Linked DNA regions of Sus scrofa. The protein of the gene in region 3 interacts with the protein of the main gene of each other region in a pairwise test. Links are inferred from orthologs where the notes say so. Each region holds a gene or a part of one and is shown on either strand. Other genes may lie near its edges.

Evidence for each region.
Region 1: the proteins of KHDRBS2 (region 3) and HBZ interact in binary tests that used the Homo sapiens proteins (3 or more experiments, as listed by UniProt). The two-hybrid records come from large-scale screens. The link is inferred for Sus scrofa from reciprocal best matches to the Homo sapiens genes KHDRBS2 and HBZ.
Region 2: the proteins of KHDRBS2 (region 3) and DOCK2 interact in binary tests that used the Homo sapiens proteins (3 or more experiments, as listed by UniProt). The two-hybrid records come from large-scale screens. The link is inferred for Sus scrofa from reciprocal best matches to the Homo sapiens genes KHDRBS2 and DOCK2.
Region 4: the proteins of KHDRBS2 (region 3) and CIRBP interact in binary tests that used the Homo sapiens proteins (3 or more experiments, as listed by UniProt). The two-hybrid records come from large-scale screens. The link is inferred for Sus scrofa from reciprocal best matches to the Homo sapiens genes KHDRBS2 and CIRBP.

What each region holds. Positions count from the first base shown.
Region 1 is NC_010445.4:41,489,772-41,494,631, forward strand, and holds HBZ (hemoglobin subunit zeta), read right to left. Parts: upstream 3,113-4,860; 5' UTR 2,151-3,112; coding exon 2,056-2,150; intron 1,503-2,055; coding exon 1,298-1,502; intron 1,217-1,297; coding exon 1,088-1,216; 3' UTR 987-1,087; downstream 1-986. Other genes in the region: HBM (hemoglobin subunit mu), read right to left, coding at 1-49, 203-294. UniProt on the Homo sapiens protein: The zeta chain is an alpha-type chain of mammalian embryonic hemoglobin.
Region 2 is NC_010458.4:54,245,423-54,250,623, forward strand, and holds the start of DOCK2 (dedicator of cytokinesis protein 2), read right to left. Parts: upstream 3,287-5,201; 5' UTR 3,041-3,286; coding exon 2,998-3,040; intron 1-2,997. UniProt on the Homo sapiens protein: Involved in cytoskeletal rearrangements required for lymphocyte migration in response of chemokines. Activates RAC1 and RAC2, but not CDC42, by functioning as a guanine nucleotide exchange factor (GEF), which exchanges bound GDP for free GTP.
Region 3 is NC_010449.5:27,615,704-27,620,134, forward strand, and holds part of KHDRBS2 (KH domain-containing, RNA-binding, signal transduction-associated protein 2), read right to left. Parts: intron 2,212-4,431; coding exon 2,065-2,211; intron 1-2,064. UniProt on the Homo sapiens protein: RNA-binding protein that plays a role in the regulation of alternative splicing and influences mRNA splice site selection and exon inclusion. Binds both poly(A) and poly(U) homopolymers. Phosphorylation by PTK6 inhibits its RNA-binding ability.
Region 4 is NC_010444.4:77,191,088-77,196,048, forward strand, and holds the start of CIRBP (cold-inducible RNA-binding protein), read right to left. Parts: upstream 3,287-4,961; 5' UTR 3,157-3,286; intron 2,182-3,156; exon of another isoform or gene 2,087-2,181; 5' UTR 2,081-2,086; coding exon 1,978-2,080; intron 1,890-1,977; coding exon 1,783-1,889; intron 1,690-1,782; coding exon 1,551-1,689; intron 1,478-1,550; coding exon 1,396-1,477; coding exon of another isoform or gene 1,392-1,395; exon of another isoform or gene 1,283-1,391; coding exon 1,165-1,282; 3' UTR 838-1,164; coding exon of another isoform or gene 821-837; 3' UTR 1-820. UniProt on the Homo sapiens protein: Cold-inducible mRNA binding protein that plays a protective role in the genotoxic stress response by stabilizing transcripts of genes involved in cell survival. Acts as a translational activator.

The DNA.
Region 1 (4,860 bases), on a different chromosome or scaffold from region 3:
GCCCAGGTGCGTGAAGTAGGTCTTGGTGCTGGGGTACGCCGTGAAGAGCCTGCGGGAGTGCAGGGGAGGTGGGGGGCGCAGTCCCTTCGGCGCCTGCGCCGCCCAGACCCCGGGAAACCCTCGGTAGCGCCCCCCCCCGGTCGCAGGCCCAACACCCCAGTCCCCGCCTCGCTGTGATCCTGGAGACTCCTCCCCAGCCCACCTGAGCAGCAGCTCCGCCCCGAAGGGCGCCTCGTGGCCGGCGATCAGGTCCCAGACCTGTGCTATGTGGACGCGCTCTTGGGCGCTAAGCATGACGCTGGCCTGGGGCGCAGTCGGGGCCGCGCCCGCCTCCCCGGCCTCCTTATACAGCACCCCCTCCCGGTGCCCCGCCCGCCCTTATCTGCCGCAGCGCGGCGGGCACTGGGAGACCCTGGGCCGGCGTGGGGAAACACCACTGGCCCAGGACCCCGCCGTGGCCGCGGGGGCCTCGGCGGTGGAGATCCCGGTCACCGGCATGGAATCACGCCGTGGCGGGGTGGGGGTGCTTAGCTGCAGAGTTTTGGGGGATCCGAGCAAAGTGGCTGCTCCTCCTGAGGGAGCCGCTGGAGGGATGGGAGAAAGATCGCGGGCCAAGGTGGCCAGGAGGTATCAAGGGTCCCCGCAGCGCGTGACCGATGACCATAAGCATTGAGGAAAGTGCCCTGAGTCTCAGCGCGTACCCAGTGCGCTGAGCGAAGCCACAGACTGGGCTGGGCGACTTGAGAGGCGGGAGAGTTTCTCGCACGCAGGTTTGACCTGAGGAAGCAGAGTAGGCGGTCCTGGGCTACTCTGCCCCCTCCCGCTGCGACTCTGGGTCCCGCAGGACCAAGGACGCCTGAAGCACCCTTGGAGTGGCCTCCAGGCCGGGGGTAACAGCAGGGACATCCGCATTCGGGCGAAGCCCCCTTTGCTCCCTCGCATTCTCCTTTCCTTCCCCCAATACCAAGGACGCAGGACCAGGCTACCTCGGTCTCCATTCGTTTATTTGAGAGTCCCGGGTGAAAACGTGGGAGGGCTCCAGGGAAAGGGAGGGGTCACAGCGTGTCTGGGGGGACTGGCGGCGGCCTCAGCGGTACTTCTCGGTCAGGACGCCGGACACGATGGTCAGGAACTTGTCCCAGGCGGCGTGGGCTTCGGCCGTTAGGTCGGCGGGGAAGTGCGAAGCCAAGGTGACCAGCAGGCAGTGGGACAGGAACTGGGGGCGGGGGGGGGCGGTGTTCAGCCAGGGAGGGGCGGGGCCTGCGGCAGACCACGCCCCGCCCCCGCCCGCGCCCACCTTGAAGTTGACCGGGTCGACGCGCAGCACGTAGGCGTGCAGCTCGCTCAGCTTGGCCAGGGCGGCCGACACATTGTCGATGCTCTTGACCGCTTCGCCCACGGCCGCCAGCACCTTGGAGCCGTGCGCGCGCAGCTGCGCCGAGCCCGGGTTCAGGTCGAAGTGCGGGAAGTAGGTCTTGGCCTGGGGGTAGCTGGCGAAGAGCCTGCGGCGCCCGCCGGGAGCGGGCGTGAGGCCGACGCCCGCGGCTCGCACGCTTCGGCGCGGGCCTGGTCAGCGGCCCGGTGCCCAGAACGTCGAGTGTTCAATGAGGACAGTGTCGGCCGTGCGGGCCGTGCGGGCCGCCCCTGGCTGCGTGCAGCCCGGCGCCTGCTCGCCCTCCCTGCCCTGGGGTCCAGACCTGGGCGGGTGGGCGCGCTCGCTCGCTCTCTCATTCGTTCCTTCACTCACGCATTCGTTCCTTCACTCACTCGTTGGGTCAGCTGCTTGCGGAGACCCGCGTGCCGGGCGGGGGGCGGCGGGGAGGGGAGAGTCAGGGTCCTACGCTCGTCCCCCCTCCGCCTTCGACCCCTCTCCCAATTCTCTGGCCGCGTCCACCCTCCTCGCCGCTGCTCATGCTGTCGCTGCTCCCTGGCCCCTGTCCTCCCTGGCCCTCGTTCCTCGCCCCTGTGCTCCCTGGCCCTGCTCACTGACCCCTGACCTCGGTGACCGCGCTGTCACCTCCTCCCAGGCTCCGCGCCGGCCCCGCTGGCGCTCACCTCTCCAGGGTCTCCGTGCCGATGGTGTCCGCCTGGCTGGAGATCTTGCCCCACATGGACGTGATAATTGTCCTCTCGGCCTTGGTCAGAGACATGGTGGCAGCGGCGGGTCTGGAGCTGGGCGCGCTGAGAGCTGGCGTCGGTGGTGCTGGGCCCCCGTGGTCCCCTTATATACGGGCAGCCAGGGTGGGGGCCAGGCGGTGGTCAGGGGCTGGGAGAGGGGAGGGGGCTCTTATCAGAGGCAGTGACCCTGGGGTGAGGGGCTATCATGCTGGCCACCCCTGCTGGGCCTTAGAGGGGGCGGTGGCCACAGCCTGACCAGACTCGAGGGGAGATAGGGGCCCAGCCAGCCCAGAAGGTCATCCTGCATCTGCAGCCCAGCTCTGCGCTGTCCTGTGCGGTTCAGAATCACAAAGGGGGAGAAGCCACAGGAGCAGGGCCAGCACACCCTGGTCGCCTGGCCTGTGCCTGTGCCGCCTGCATCACCATGGGCAGACCCAAAGGTCACCTGCCAGCGCCTGCTCCTGGCTCTGGGATCCCTGTGCTTCCTCTAAGAAAGCAGTAGTTTTGCCCAGCGGGCCCTGAGGAGGGAGGTGCTGACTGGGTCTCTTCCCTAAAAGCTGGAGGAGGTGGTAGGTCAATAAAGGAGGATCCTTCTAGTTCGTGCTTTTGGGGCCTGCAGTGTTGCTCGTCACATCATAATTTAAGCATAACGAGGCAGTTGAGATAAAATGTGGAACTAAAACCTGAAAAAAATCCAACCATAATAGCAATAATAATTGCAATGAGGCAGTATGCCTGCTAATTTTATCTCAGCACACATACAATGGACTTTTTTTAGTGCACTGCTTTGTGAATTTTGACATGTGTATAGATGTGTGTAACCCCACAGAAATTAGGACACACAACAGCTCCATCACCCCACGAGCTCCCTATGCTGCCCCTTTGCAGTTTCACCCTCCTCTATCCCCTAAACTCTGGCAGCCACTAAAATTTTGTAAAGGAGTTCCCATCGTGGCTCAGTGGTTAACGAATCCGACCAGGAACCATGAGGTTGCAGGTTCGATCCCCGGCCTTGCTCAGTGGGTTAAGGATCCAGCACTGCCGTGAGCTGTGGTGTTGATTGCAGACACAGCTCGGATCCCGAGTTGCTCTGGCTCTGGCCTAGGCCAGCGGCTACAGCTCTGATTCGACCCCTAGCCTGGGAATCTCCATATGCTGAGGGAGCGGCCCAAGAAATGGCAAAAAGACAAAAAAAATAAGATAATAAAATAAAATTTTGAAGTTCCTGTTGTGGCGCAGTGGTTAACGAATCCGACTAGGAACCATGAGGTTACGGGTTTGGTCCCTGCCCTTGCTCAGTGGGTTAAGGATCCAGCATTGCCGTGAGCTGTGGTGTAGGTTGCAGACGCGGCTCGGATCCCGCGTTGCTCTGGCTCTGGCGTAGGCTGGAGGCTACAGCTCCGATTTGACCCCTAGCCTGGGAACTTCCATATGCCGCGGGAGCGGCCCAAGAAATGGCGAAAAGACCAAAAAAGAAAAAAAAAAATTTGGAGTTCCCGTCGTGGCGCAGTGGTTAACGAATCCGACTAGGAACCATGAGGTTGCGGGTTCGGTCCCTGCCCTTGCTCAGTGGGTTAACGATCCGGCGTTGCCGTGAGCTGTGGTGTAGGTTGCAGATGCGGCTCGGATCCCTCGTTGCTGTGGCTCTGGCGTAGGCCGGGGGCCACAGCTCCGATTCGACCCCTAGCCTGGGAACCTCCATATGCCACGGAAGCGGCCCAAAGAAATAGCAAAAAGACAAAAATAAATAAATAAAAATTAAAAAAAAAAAATTTTGTCAAGAACATCCTGTAAGTGGGATCATACAGCACTGTGCCTTTTTTTTCTTTTTTCTTTTTTTGTCTTTTTAGGGGTGTACCCACGGCATATGGAAGTTCCCCGGCTAGGGGTCAAACTGGAGCTATAGCCACTGGCCTACGCCACAGCCACAGCAACACCAGATCTGAACCCATCTGTGACCTGCACCACAGCTCACGGCAACGCCAGATCCTTAACCCACTGAGTGAAGCCACAGATCAAACCTGCGTCCCCAGGGATGCTAGTCAGATTTGTTTCAGCTGAGCATGATGGGAACTGCACAGCACTCCGCCCTAAAGGACTGGCTCCTTTTACTTGGCCTGGTCCCCTTGAGATCTGTGCCTGCCGTTGCATTGCGTTGGTAGCTGGTTTCTTTCCATTGCAAAGTGGATACCCGCCGTGTCGGTGTTCGTGCACCTCTGACTCCCACTCGGACCCCCACTGTCCCACTTCGGCGCTGCTACCAACAGCGCTGCCGTGAGCATTCTTGTGCAGGTCTTGATGTGAACATACATTTTTAATGCTCTGGGATAAATACCGTATGTAAGAGTAGGATTGTGGGTTCATGGGCTGAGTGTATGTTTGACTTTATAAGAAGTTGGCTTTGCAGGTCCTGTCGTGGCGCAGCTGAAATGAATCTGACTAGGAACGATGAGATTGCGGGTTCGGTCCCTGGCCTCGCTCAGTGGGTTAAGTATCCGGCATTGCCGTGAGGCTGCGCGGTAGGTCGCAGACACGTGTCAGATCCCGAGTTGCTGTGGCTATGGTGTAGACCGGCGGCTGTAGCTCCAATTTGACCCCTAGCCTGGGAACCTCCGTATGCTGCAGGTGCAGCCCTAAAAAAGCAAAAAAACAAAACAAAACAAACCCAAAACAAAACACACACACAACACACACACACAAGAAGTGGGCTTTATCGTTTTGCCTTCCACTCGGCTGTGAGGG
Region 2 (5,201 bases), on a different chromosome or scaffold from region 3:
TGACTGTACCGACCTGGTATTGGGGTGGCATACCTTCTGCCGCCCTTGGCTCCACAACTATTAGGTAACCCCCTTGACCTCAGTGGCTGTCATTGACCCCATCTCATTACTAAGTGCTTTTCACACATTCAATCCCCATTTAATTCTTCGAACAATCTCATGAGATCCGTGTTATCATTATTCCCCCTATTTTACAGATAAGGAAACAGGTGGAGGCCAAGCATCTAACTTTTCACGTCTCCCTTGAGGCACAGACACTGTGCATTTTCTTACATCCGAGCTGCACTGTCTTGTCTGTGGAAACTCCCACCTGCTTCTACCCAAAGGTCCTCTCTGGACCTCTAATGGATCACATTCTAAGTCTCTAACAAGGATGTAAAAAGAACCTGGCCAGGGATCTACATGAGGGTCGCCCTGGCTTGCCCACAAGGCAGTAAGAGAGAGCACAAGCAGTTATGCTGATGAAGCTGTCCCCTGAAAAATCAGGCCCCCAGACAAACAGACTCCACTAACTGATGAGGAAACCAAATGGGAAAGCGAAGCTCAGGTCTGGCCTGCTGGGACTCCAGGGATCTTCCAAGAACCCCTAATCCTCTACGTAGCACTTTGCCTTCCTCCAAGGCCCTGGGCTTGTCATCTCAAGTGCCCTTCATAAAATAACACCTTGAAATAGAAAAGAATTAATATCTAGACTTATGATGAGGAAAATAAAGCACAGATCTGTCTGCAAATAGTGATGACGGCAGAACTAGAACCCAGACTCCTTATGCTCAGGCCACTGTATTTTCCGCTGGGTGAATCCAGTCCCCTGTTGTCCTAACATAAGCTTTTCCCTTCCATCTACCCAGAGTCTTCAAAGGACATTCATCAGCAGAGAAAAAGAGATCCTTTGATGAGCAGGCAACTATGAAAGGCTCCCAGCTCTCTAAAGGGTCACAGACCTTCTGATCTGGCCTCCACAAAACAGAATTTTCATCAGTAGGCATGAAAACTGTCAGACGTGCCATCAGAAGAAGCCTCTGAGCCTGGGGCCTCACAGAGTTCTTACTCTCTGAGCACACAGGTGGGATTTCCACAGCTAGGGATGGTGAGAACATACTTCATTTTGTAAGCCTCCCCATCCTGTAATGTCATGTTCTGAACTGGGCCCCCATGCATAGCACAAAGTCTAAACATCATAATTGATTACAGTGAGGATTTGTACAATTGCCCTGCTAGGTACTTCTTGTGAATTAACACATTCAATCTTCCCACCCGCACCTAGGAAGCAGGTGCTGTTATTACCCTCCATACAGATTAGGAAACTGAGGCCTGGAGAAAGCAGGTAACTTGTTTAGGTCACAGGGCTGCCTACGTTGGAAGCTGGAATCCAAGAGCAGGCACCAGAGCCCATGATCTGCACACCACGGCACGGGGTCTGCACAGCAGGAAAGCCTGCAGCCCTAAGGATGGAGGGTGGGGCCCTCCACCACACTCAATCTCCCCCATTAACTGCCCTAAATACCATCCCTCACCTGCCACTCTGGCACCCCCAACACTGGCTTCAGTACAGATCGCATGTCCCTCCTCTGCTCAGAAGCCCGCTATGGCTCCTCATTGCCTACACGGAAAAAGCCTCAACTTTTTAGTCTGTCCTTCACAAATATGCCTTCAACTAACTCCGAGCATAATCACCCCTCCCATGCACCCCCGCTCAAGGCCAAAGGAGCGCCCGCTCTTCTTTCCTGGATCTTCCCTTCATGTCTCACTTTCACGTCCTAGACCACACTGGCCCCTCCACCTACAGTGGCCTGCTCCATTTATCCATCCCCAGCTTCCCTGAGAAGGGTTTCAATCTGATACCCTCAGATGGAAGGGTCACAGTTAGTGAAGCTTTGAAGTTCGAAAGTTACTGAGTCTGGTTCAAACTTCCCGCTTCATAGATGGAGAAACTAAGCCCCCTTGAGGGCATGGATTATCATTTGTTCTCTGGATGGGGAGCATGCATCTCCACAGCTCTTGGAGCCTAGTAAGTGACTGAGCAAATGTCGAGCCCTCCAGGGCAAGGATTCTCCAGCAGCACCCTTGGGATTCTCTGCACCTAATCACACTTGGCCCTTGGGTCCCCCAACATCAGACCGGCTCAACCCTCACCTCTGGGGGTGGTGCCTGATATCTGCCTGTGTAGCAAGCCACAGGGTGGTTTTTAAATTCACACTTATTTGAAAACCACAGTGAATCTATGGGGATTGCACCACGGGTGCCACTTAGTAGAAAGCGTCCCAGTACCTGAAGCCTCCCTTCCCCCAGCCACCACTTCCGCCCCTGAGCTTGAGGCAGAGGCCTCTGGGAGCTTAGATGGCTGAAGCTGCTGAGGCTGACTTCTTGGATGTCCCCATATAAACGGGCTGGAGCCTTCCTCCCCAGAAGCTCTCTGGCGCTGAGTGAAGGATCCCGCCCTCCAGCCCTATGCCCCCAGCCTGAAGAGCCCTCTGGACGCCCTGCCAAATCAGGGGTCATCTGACCCAGGAGGAACAGGCAGGGGAAGCAGGCAGATGGGTGTCACTTTGGACAGGGGTGGAGGGAGGCAATGAGGGGCCAGGCAAGGCCCAGCCGGGAGAGAGAATCACGCTCCCTCTAAGAGTCCCAGTCTCCAGAGGGGGTGAGGGGTTCCCTGGAATGCTATGAGCCTGACACCCAGAGCCAGGTTGCTAAGTGCTTTGCTCGTCCCCATCTAGGAAACGCATAAGTCCCTGGAGAGAGAGAGGGAAGCCCTGCGGTGGGCAGGGGAGGGAGCAGACAGGTGTAGCCTCCTGGGCAGCATGCCCACCTGCCTCTTCCCTGCCACCCTTTTCCTGCCCAGCTGGCCCCACAGCAGGCCAAAGGAGCCTCTGCACTCTCAAACTTTGAGTCAGTGCTGTGAGCCCATGTCCGCGCCGCTGGCTCCGCAGCATCTTCCCGTGCAGTTCTCCTGCCACCTGCCCTTCACCCTGCTGAGGACCCCATGCCCACACTTACCCACGCCATGCCTCTCCTTGTCAGTTTTGCGCCAGGGGCCCATGGCTGGGCGGGGGGCCTGCAGGCACCTCGAGTCGTCCTGTGGGGAAGCAGCCAGGGGGTGGCTAGGCGCTCTGCCGGGCCCCACTTCCTTCCTCTTTTCAAACTCCCTCTCAGGGCCCGCCCTCTCCTCCCTGGGGCACCCTGCTCCTCCTCCTCTTCCTCCCTCCTCCTTCTGGGCAGAGGCACTGCAGAAGACTAGCCTAGCTGCTGAAAGGCCCCCACACAGCTTAGGGGCCACTCCCAACTTGTCTCCTCCCCAGGTAAGCTGGCAGAAACCAAGCAGGTATCTGGGGCCACCCAGGCCATCATCACAAGTGCAGGATGTCCCCTGGTAACTGAGTCTAGTGATTACATCAAGCTCCCCCCACCTAGCAGGAGCTTTGGTGTCAGATATGGGTTCAAACTCACATTCTGATGTTTAACAGCTAAGCAACTAGACATTATTTCATCTTTCTAAGCTTCCATTTTTCCATCTGTAAAATGGGATAATGGTACCTACTTCATTTGTTATTGCAAGACTCTGAGAAGACAATGCATGCAGCAGGTGACACACACAGTTACTGTGAGGATTAGAGGAGATAATGCATATAGTTAATATTTGAGTTAAATACCCACCAGGAGGGGAGGTCACTTGTGGGTTTTATCCTTTTGGTGCCACAGACCCATTTGAAAATGTGATAAAAGCTCAGGAAACTCTCCTCTGAAAATATTCAAGCAGAGAATTTACCAACAGTGACAAGAAGTCCAGGATGCTCTAACAGCCAGCCATCATGGGCCTTGGGAAACGAGTCCTAGAGTTAGGCTAAGGGAGACATTTCTCAGAAAATGTTCTGGGAATAGATTCTATCAAGAAGCAAAAATATCTCTTTGATCCACAGCGATAAGACAGAATTAAAGTCTTCCTGAATTTTCTTTATTCATAAGCCTCACTACCCCTTCCTGCCTGACACTAGAGAGTTAATAAGATAGATTAGGCAATATTGCAGCTGACAGGCAGCTATGGCAAACTATTAATTTCATTTTATCTAAAGTTATTCCCTTTTCAGTTTTCTAGCAGCACAAATTGGGTAGTATTTTTTAATAGAGAGCAGTTAAATCAGTCAGGATTCCACCAGAGGACCACAATGGCAGGATATGTATGTGGATTGATTATTGATCGATTGATTAAATTGTAAGGAATTGGCTTATGAGAAAGTGGAGCTGGCTAGGTTAGGTCTGAAATACATGGTGCAGGCCTTTAGGAAATATAGGCTGGAAACTCTCAGGCAGGAGCTGAAGCTGCTGTCCACAGGCAGAATTTCTTCTTTTTCAAGGAAAGCACAGTTGAGGCCTGTCAACTGATTGGATCCTGCCTACGCAGATTGCTGAGGAGAATCTTCACTTCAAATCATCCTGTTGTAGATGTTAATTACATCCACAAAACACCTCCAGAGCAACACCGAGATTGGTGTTCGGTTGATTAATTAGGGTCTATTGTCTCACCAAGTTGATTCATAAAACTAACCATTGGAGCAGTCTTACAAACCAGACTAAACATCAGAGGTTGGTAAACTTTTTCTGTAAAAGATCAGACGGTAGATTTTCCAGTCTTTGCAGACCAAGAGGCAAAATCAAGGATACTATGTAAATACTTATATAACAAGAGAGAAAACAAGTTTCCACAATTTTTATTGATAAAATGCAAAATTTGATATTAATAACTGGGTCTATTCTTCTGTGATACAGTGCTAGAAATGAAAAAAATAAATTTGGGGGAGAGGTCATAGTCTACTCCATTAGAGTTCAAAGTTAGTTTTCTCTTGCAGGAGTTCCCTGGCGGCAGCAGGTTAAGGACACAACATTGTCACTGCTGTGGCATGAGTTCAATCCCCAGCCCACGAATTTCTGCATGCTGTGGGTGTGGCCCAAAAACTGATTGCAAATACTCATCTTTTAATGCTGATCTGTAGTGAAATTTTACATTTCATCTCTGAAAATGTCTTTTACCATAGGTGGTATATAGCAAAGAATTAATCTTGCCCCAGAAGTGGTCTGGTATTTGTCCTCAGCTACCAGAAAGAGATCTCTTAGAAAGTCATGGTTTGCCTGGGGAATTTATGTCACACCTAACAGTCTAAAAATATGATTTACAGAGTTCCTGTTGTGGCTCAGTGGTAATGAAC
Region 3 (4,431 bases):
GAGGGGGCAGCTGGGGCAGCGGTAACCGGAGGGGCTGCAGGAGCAGGTCACGCCAGCTAGAGTGGGGGTTTCAGTCTTCATCTGGATCTTTATAGGGAGAGCACCCTGGAGAGTTTCCCAGACCTCACCAGGTGGCTATGAACCCTCTGCATCATGCCCAGTACCAATTAATGAGCCAGTCCCTCAATCAGGCTATCAAACACGGTGCCAGGCTGCCAGCCCTGTCTCGTGGAGTATATATTTCATAAGGAAATTATTACAAGTATCAAGAGGTCTAAGAAGAGAGTAAGTGAGATATACTACTGGGATTTATAATAAAGTAGGGTTAACCTAGCCTACAGCCTATGTCTCAAATCTGGGTAGCAATGAAATAGGATTTTCTCTTATACAGTTCACCTCCATCATTCCAAGATGGTTTTTATCTACTTGTAATAATAAAAAAGATTTAAAACATCAATTTATATAGTGCTTTACAATTTTCTATGCCTTTTTATATGCATTACCCCATTTAATAGTCACAATAACTATGACAGAAGCCCTTCAGTTATTATTATCTCCTTAGCTTCTTTGTAAAGATGAATCAGCTAATTTTTTTTTTTTAATTGGCTGCACTGGCAGCATGCACAAGTTCCTGGGCCTGGGATGGAAGCTGCCACAGCAGCAACCTGTGGCACAGCAGTGACCCCAGCAGATCCTTAACCCACTGAGCCATCAGGGAATCCAGCTGAAGTTCTGAGAATTTAACTGACTCGTCTACAGGCACAAAATGAGTTACTAGTCTAGACGGTGTAGCTTTTTCCTATAATACCTATATCATCAGAGGTCTGGTCTGAGCTAAATACAGTACAAATGTGTAACCAACAGCATCAACGTGTAGAGAACACAGGATCTTCATTCTTAAGAAATACAGGGTCTATTTAGAGAGGTATTCAAACTACACTAGATAATAAGGTGTGCAGATAAAGTTATGGAATAATCAGAGCAGTATGGGGTTATTCTATAACCTTTTCCTGACAGAAGAATTTTAAACTGGGCCTACACATAGATTACGTTGTTTGATTTTGACACTTTTCCATTCTGGAATTCTGTTTTTTTCGTTTATTTCCCCATTCTCAAATCACGGGCCAACCAATGAACTGTAAGATTCATGACTTCCTCTGAGCTCATTAATTAGTTTAGAAAACTGCAGTGTTTCTTCATCACACGGATTAAGCTTAGCTATTCTCTTTCTCTGCTGAGGACCTGGTCTGCCAGAGCACTCCCAAAAACCGTACTCAGCATTCTCTTCCAATTATCTTATTCCCAGCTCTAAGCCTGGTGCCAAGATTTCTATTTAAACAACCTCTTCCTAGAATGCGAAATTGTCAACCTTTAGGAAAGCTTCGTTCTTCTATTTCTTAGAAAATCAGTAGAGAATTCTATTCAGTGTGCATCCCTGAATTTGCTGCCTTACTAAATGAACATTCTCTGCTTCTCTCATTTAGCACAATGAGTTCATTTTTCCAATTTTTTGCATGACGTCAACAAATGTCCAATTCTATTAATATTGGTATTTTATATTATATTTTATAATGAGCCAGCACCTGGCATACTATGACATAAAAGCACATTTGATAGTTTCAAACAACACATCGTCTTGTTACAAATATTACACATCCAATCTCTTTTCCCTCCCACTGTACCTGAAAATATTTCTCTATTAAAAATTATGAATAATATGTGTCAACTACCAAGTCATTAGACACAAGAGAAAGGTACGCAACTTCAGTTACATATTTGTGTTTATGTGTTAACTCTCTTATTCTTATTCTTCATGGCCATGAACAGCGCAGGGCACAGAATGCAGTTGAGACAAATACTGCTGCCAAACCGTCATTATGTGGCAACATGTCAGGTCCTGTGCTGAGTGTTTTGGTATTCTTTTTTATTTTTACCTTCATATCAACTCTATAAAGAAGAAGTCTGCAGCATAAATTTCCATCTAAAAAGTCAGTGAAGATCAAAGGCACATTTTATAATAGAAACTCATAAGAAACATCTTTGTAAAAAATGAAAAACACTTACAGGAACCAGGAATTTTTTAATCTCTTCCAGTGCATGACTCATACGTGAATAAGCTTCCCCAGGTGGAGCGAAAACTTCAATTAATACATGAAGTTCATCGCTCAAGTGGGCATATTTGGCTTCTCCACTCTTCCTTAGTTCTTCTTCCTGTGAAAGAGGTTATTTTTAGAAATACAAATCTACTCATTTTGCATTGATTTAACATTTACTGAAAAGATGACAAAAGGGCATAATCTAAGCAAATTTTCCCTAACTAGAAATCCTTTGGGAAATGAAAATCTGGTACAAGCCATTTAAAGATTTTTAAAATCATTTCTGAGTGTTTGAATGATTAAAAAAAAAACTTGGCATAATTATCATCTACACCACATTTTAATCAGCTAAATGAAAATGCTAAGTCTGAAAAGAAGTTACAGAAATGCCATTAACTCTTCACTGTACACCACAGGAAGAAAAGGATTATTTTTGTGCCTGACAAATAATCACTTGCAGATAAACTCCAGGTGACCACTGTTCTTTAAGAAAACCAGGATCTTCTAGATACTTTTGGAGAAGTGGTGAAAGGTTACTTGCTCCTCATGAACATGAGCAGACCCAAGGCTTCCTCCCCAGCCCAGTTCCCACTGGCCCAGATTCTCATCTGGCTTCTACCCAGCATCTCGCTATCCTTTGTCACCTCCCCCTGGTCAAGACGGAGGAGCACATTAAAGGGTTGGTGGTTAAGCATTCTGTTGGCCTTGATTCTGCATGAGTTACACACCTGCAGCTTAACTTGACAATGGATTTCTCTTGGAGCAGATTCTGTCATCCTTTATCTAAGTTGTTACTGGTTAATTTAGTAATCTGCAGAGCAAATCAGCACACGATCCATGCACTGTGCTAATGTGTGCTAGGTCTTTAACACATGTCATTGCTAAACTCACAACCACCTCACACAATGTTCACATATTTCACATTAGGAAATATTGAGAAAATTGAGTTTAAAAGACTTTAGTGAACTTGCGCAAAATTGGGACTCAAGCTCAGTTTTCAACGAGATTTGCATTTTTTTAGGATTTCAAAGAAACAAAATGTGGTTAAAAATGTACTTAAAGAGGGAGTTTCCATTGTGGTTCAGTGGTAAAGAACCCGACTAGTATCCATGAGGATGTGGGTTCAACTCCTGGCCTCGCTCAGTGGGTTAAGGATCCAGCGTTGCCGTTAAGCTGTGGTGTAGGTCACGGATGCGGCTCAGGTCTGGTGTTGCTGTGGCATAGGCTGGCAGCTGAAGCTCCAATTTGACCCCTAGCCTGGAAACTTCCATATGCTATGGGTGTGGTTCTAAAAAAAGAACATAAATAATATTAATTATATTTTACCTTTCTTAACTCTTCTCCCCTCAAACTAGCAGTAAATTTCAAAGGGTAGAACTTTAAAAAACATTTTTTTTTTTTTTTTAGTTGTACGTGTGGGTTAAATTAGAAAAGCGATGTGAATACACCTAAACTAGATAAACAAAAGCAAATTTGCTACTGATTTCATATGAGGAACTGTATGACCCATGTTAACGGGTTTATCTGATTAAAAATGCCCATCATTTCCACGCATGGAGGATCCATAACAGAGGTGGAAGCCACTTTCCTCAGAACCTTCGCCTACTCAGATCTCTCTAACAGCAATACCTTTCAGCCTAGAAATTCACCTTCACTTCCCTAAGCATTGTTCTCTAACTAGGAGTTTTGACTTTTATTAAAAAGGTTTTTCTTAGTGCTCAATTCTCAGATAGGGGAAGCAGAGCTCGACTCAGCAAATCTGCACCTGTGGGTGGAGCTAACGTTCCTTCTTTCTTGCTTCTCCAGGGATGCAAGATGCCTTTCAACTCAGGAGTCTGCTTTGCTTACATGTAAGTGCTGAGGAATTTAAATCAGATGGTGCCAACACGCCTCAATACTCCCACAGCTGATTTTCTGCTAGTTAGAAGGGCTATCTGCTTGCCGCATTTCATAAGGTCCGCCACTGTGAGATGTGGCATTGAGATAAGAATTGTAACACTTATTTCAGCCTCTCAAAATAAGCCTGGTTAGATCTCTGCAGTAGAGCCGATAGGCTGATGCTCATGAAGAAAAATGCAACTTTCTATTGAAAAAGACATTTCCCTCTTCCCCGATGCGCCCCCATCACACTTTATAGAAACACATGAGGAATGAGGTCCTCAGAGATGAATCAACTTCCTGAGGGTCAAGTGTGCATCAAGATTCCAGCCAGGACTCAATAAAGTGGGTGAAAACACTGATAAGGATGTCAAAGAATGAAAGTTAGCACAGGGGACCCAATCGTGAGCTACCACTGGTTATTCTCAAAACTAGACTTTATATCTTCAAAGCTGTG
Region 4 (4,961 bases), on a different chromosome or scaffold from region 3:
TAATCCTCAAGCTGCCCTCTCTGCTCAGGTCTGCCTGCTGCGAGTCCGCAGCAGGGAAAGTGTGGTGTGATCAAAGGGAGATGGTCAGAGCAGGTTCATTCAGACGGGCTTTTAATCGGCTTCGTGAAGCCAAAGAAAACTGCATACAAGAATTCCTTAGCCACTTCAAATACAACATCGATGACATATGCACACGTCTTCCAGTAAAAAAAAAGACAATATAAATAAACATTTTCAAGAAACTCTTGGGACGTCTGCAAGTCTACCGTGGATGATACAGTACAGAGGGGCGGTGGGGCCAGGCAGCCGGGCACCTCTGCCGCCACCCGGTCCTACCATACCATGCTACGCTCAGGAACATTACACGGAGCTGAAAAAAAGCCACAGTGTGCTCAGCTTCCGACAAAGAGCGGATTCAGAGTCCGTTCAGACTCAAAAGACAAGTGACTCGGGGCCCCTAACTACTTGGGGCCGACCCCACGAAAAAGAGAAAAAAGGCAACACAACCCAAACTCAAACTCTCGCAACCCTCAATGATTTTTCTAAAAAGCTCATGGCTCACGATAAAAAGTAAAACCTGAAGTGCTTTGCAAAACATGTTCAAAATCCTCAAAAACAGATGGCACTTCTTTAAAAAGAAAAGTGTAATAATGAGGCCATCTGGGGTCAGAAGCAGTCAGGCTGTGTTTGACAAGATAGGAACTGATAAGACTACAAAAGTGGGTACAAGGAGGTGGATTCACTACACATTAACGATTCAGCGGAGCTCCCAAAATCTTTAAATATACAGCCATTGGAAGGACGATCTTGAGCAGGATTTTTACTCGTTGTGTGTAGCTGAGAAGAAGAAGCAGGCACAGTGTAAAGGCACTGAAGCACGCGACAGGACGCAGCATTCCACGCCCGGGCCCAGACCTGGGGGCTCAGCCCTGCGGCCTCGGGGGCAACCAACCCCCCCACGGCCGAGGGTGGCGGGCGACGGCAGGCCCACATGCACTTATGCTGCCTGCTCCGTGGGCCCTCGCTCTCCCTTTCCTTCTTGGTCAATCTAGTTTCACGATTATGTTTGTGGTAGAAATGGCTGCTGGCACCAAGACCCAGGAGGGCAGTCTTGGACCTTGTGGGCAAGCAGTGAGCAGGTCTGAGCGCTGCCCACAAAGGGCACTAAGGCTCACTGTGCTCCCACTGCAGGCCCTCAGAGCGCCACTTACCGTAACTGTCGTAGCTGTCTCTGTAGGACCCGCCTGAGCTCCGGTCACCATAGCTGCCACCCTGACTCCGGCTGTAGGAAGGACATGGGTGGGCGCTGGACGGTACCTTAGGCTACTTAGAGCAGCCCACATGCCAGCATCCAGGCAGACACCCTTGGCCCCTAGATGGGCCCACCACCCTCACCTGCTGTAGTAGTCCCTGGAGCCGCCATAGCCCCCACTCCTGGACTCGAACCGGCTACCACCATAGCCTCGATCCCCTCCTCCTATACAGAGACAAGAAGTGAGTGTCAGCTCTTGAAGCAGTGCCCCCACCTCTTCCCTGCAAGTGGCACTCACCTCTGGAGAACCCACGGCCCCGGCCTCGGCCCCCACGGAAGAAGCCCCGGCCCCCCGAGGAGCCACCTCGGTACCCACGGGATCGGTTATCAGATGACTTCCCGGCCTGGTCAACCCGGATCTGCCGCCCATCCACAGACTGGAGACCAGAAGTCGATATGGTTAGCCCCCGCACCTCCTGCACTCAGGTTGCAGCCCGGACCTTCTAGACCCCAGGACAGCCGCCTCTCACCTTCCCGTTCATGGCCATCATAGCGTCCTTGGCGTCATCAATGTTCTCAAAGGTGACAAACCCAAAGCCCCTCGATCGCTGGGTCTCCCTGTCCTTCACTACTACCACTGTGCAAGGGAGAGGTCTGAGGTCAGTACCCAGCTCTCCCTGTGAGCGGCCTTGCTCAGCTGCCAGCCAATCTGGAACCAGCCTCACCTTCTGAGATCTGCCCATATTTTGAGAAGACCTGCTCCAGCGACTGCTCATTGGTGTCAAAGCTCAGCCCTCCAACGAAAAGTTTGCCCTCGTCTGATGCCATGGTCACCTGTGGCAAACACCACTGAAATCCTCAGAGGTCCTGCAGGGGCCGGGAGAATCACCCCCTCGCCGTTTTTTACTTTAGACAAATAACACACGCTCCTGGGACAAACATTGGAAAATTGCTTTTGTGCCCTTTAACCATCCCAAGCTCATACCTAGGGCTTAATTCAAACAAGCCCTTGATTCCTTTATCACTCCCCCTTGCCCCTTTTCTGTGCTTGGGCCAACTCCACTCCCGAAATTGGGGGCTCCCGGAAGGCTAGGGCCAGACCGCGGTTCTGCAGCAAGCACTCTTCAGTGCTGCCTGGATTTGGGACCCCAAAACTCCAGCTACGCTGACACCCTCTCAGGACGTTTAGGGCTGGACAATGAAGGAAGGCATCAATCTCCACTGCCACCGGCTGAGTGCACACTGGCTTCTGTCTTTTGCTAACATGTCGGGGGGTGGGGAGGGAGCTAACTTCTAACCCTCTCTATTATACAGGGGCGGCAAAGTGCTTGGTCTACTGTAGGGTGCTATGATGTTAAAAAGGAGCGGGATGTGGGGAGGTGCTGACTTAAAGCGACCCTTTACAGGAAAGGGGCCTGCGCTGAATGACTCCAAAACCAGGCCTGAAGACGACCCGCAGCCTTGCAACCCCTTGCAAGTTTGGGCCCAAACCTGGGGATCGGAGAGTGGGCGGCACCCATGATGTGCCGCCCTCACACAACTCCAACAGGAAAGAGGGGAGTAGCCCCGGCCCCGCCCCCGCGCATGCGCCCCGCCTGCGGCTTGCGCCACTCCATCCGGGTACCCGGGGCTCCCGCCATTTCGCTGGGCGCAGCCTCGCTCTCGCGGCCGCCATTTTACGGCGGTGACCCGCTCGCGGCGCTCTAGCCCGCGGAGGACGTCCTCCGGCCGCGGCACGGCCCGGTCTCCGCAACCCCTCTCCGCCGGCGGAGCGGACTCCACCCCGGACCCGCCCCGGTACCGCCCCCCGCCCAGGGGCGTGCTGCCACCGCCCCGCCTTGGCCGGCCCGCCTTGGCCGCCCGCCGCCCCGGGCCCGCGGAGCCGGTACCGCCAGGGCCCTCACCACTGAGTTGGGCAGGTCCCTGGCGCAGGCGGGAAGACAGCACAGCACAACGGCCTGAGCCTTCTAACGCGCGAATGAGGGGGGGCAGTTTCCGGGTACGGCCTTTTGTACGCTGCCGCTGGGACCCGCCCCCCCTAAGCCCGCCCCCATCCCCCCCTCCCCGAGTCGGCCAATCCAGGGCCCCTGAGGGCGTGGCTGTGCCTCACATTTATGAGTTGGGGGGCTGGGCCTGTGCCGACCCCGCCCCCTCCCGCGTGCTGGCGGGGGTCAAAGTGCCTGGCGGGGATGCGCATGGTCTGCAGTCTCCAGACCATGACGGGGGGCGGGGCCAGCGCGCTGCTGGGCGGAGCTGACCCACTTCCGCGTGCCAGTCCCTGGCCTGCGGCGGGGAACAAAAGGGGTTCAGGCTGCTGCTTCCTCCTGGGAAAGCTCCCTGGCCGCTGCAACCCCGTCCTTTGCAGTGCTCCAATAATCGCCCACATAGGACCTCAGCCAGATCCCCATACGCACCTGAGGATCAGCTCTCAGACACCCCAACTGATGAATCCTGACATCAGTTCTTATATATTTGCCAACGTGTAACCGACACCCCAGAGTGCCCAGAACCCAATGCTCCTGAATGTCCCGCTTAACGTGACTGGCCCCAAAGCCCTCCCAAAAATATTCGTCATGATCCCATTCTTCCTACTTTACAACTTTGGGGTACCCCAATTTCACCCAACCCAGTTTGCCTACAAATCCCAACTTGCATCCTGACTTCACTCCGTCTAGTGCAACGCCCACACCCCCAGTCAGCTGGCCAGACCCTTTTGTGCATCCCAGCACTAGATGGCTGGCTGACCTTGTCCTGGCCTCTCAAACCCACAATTGGGCGCAGCCCTGAGTCCCACTGGACCTCAACATTCAGCTCAGCCCCCGCCTCCCCTTAATCACGTGCTCCAGCACCCCCCCCAACACTATTCTGCACTCCCTTGGCTCCTCCCCCTGAATCTTTTTCCTGTATGAAAGTCCGAATCCGGAGGCCTCTGCAACAGGAGAACCAGGTTTGCAGGGATCTTTACCCCCAGGGCTGCTCCTCTGGATCCCCATGCCCTCTTTATGGGAGCCCCTCTCACGGCCACCACTTTCACCCTGCCCAGGCCTTGGTTACACTACCTTCTGTGTCGCAGAACCCTCCATGGGGTGGAAAAAGCTTGCACAGCTGCTTAAGGGTAGCGAGTTGCCTGCTGAGGCGAGGGTTTCATCTCCTGCCTGGTGCAGTGGGTTAAGGATCTGGCACTGTTGCAGCTGTGGCAGGTATTCAATCCCTGGCTGAGGAAATTCCATCTGCTGCTGGTGCAGGCATAAAATTAACAACAACAAAATGCTAGTGTAGACCCCTGCCTGCCCAGACCAGAGGCCCAAGCTATATCCCTAGAAAGTCTTAAAAGGGCAGACCCTCTGCATAAAAACAGGGGGATTTTAGAGCAGAGACCCATGCTTTGCTTTGCTGCCTGCCCCAGAAAAGTTCCAGTCCCACTCCAGGAGCCAGACTCTGTCACACCATAGTGACAGAGTCTGGCTCTGGATCTAGCTGATGCAGTAGGGACCTGAGCATGGACGCTGACTCCTGTAACAGGATCGTTGGGACACCTCCTTGGCTCAGGATCCCCTTCCCCAGGCAGCAGCTCATGACTCATGGCAGCCTTGTCTCTGCACCTCCTCCCCCATGCCACAGCTCCCCCCATACAACTCTCCGTCAGCAGCAGCCTGCTGCTGCGTCAGCCACACACGCAGGATGGTTATTAAAGGGAGCAGAATCAACA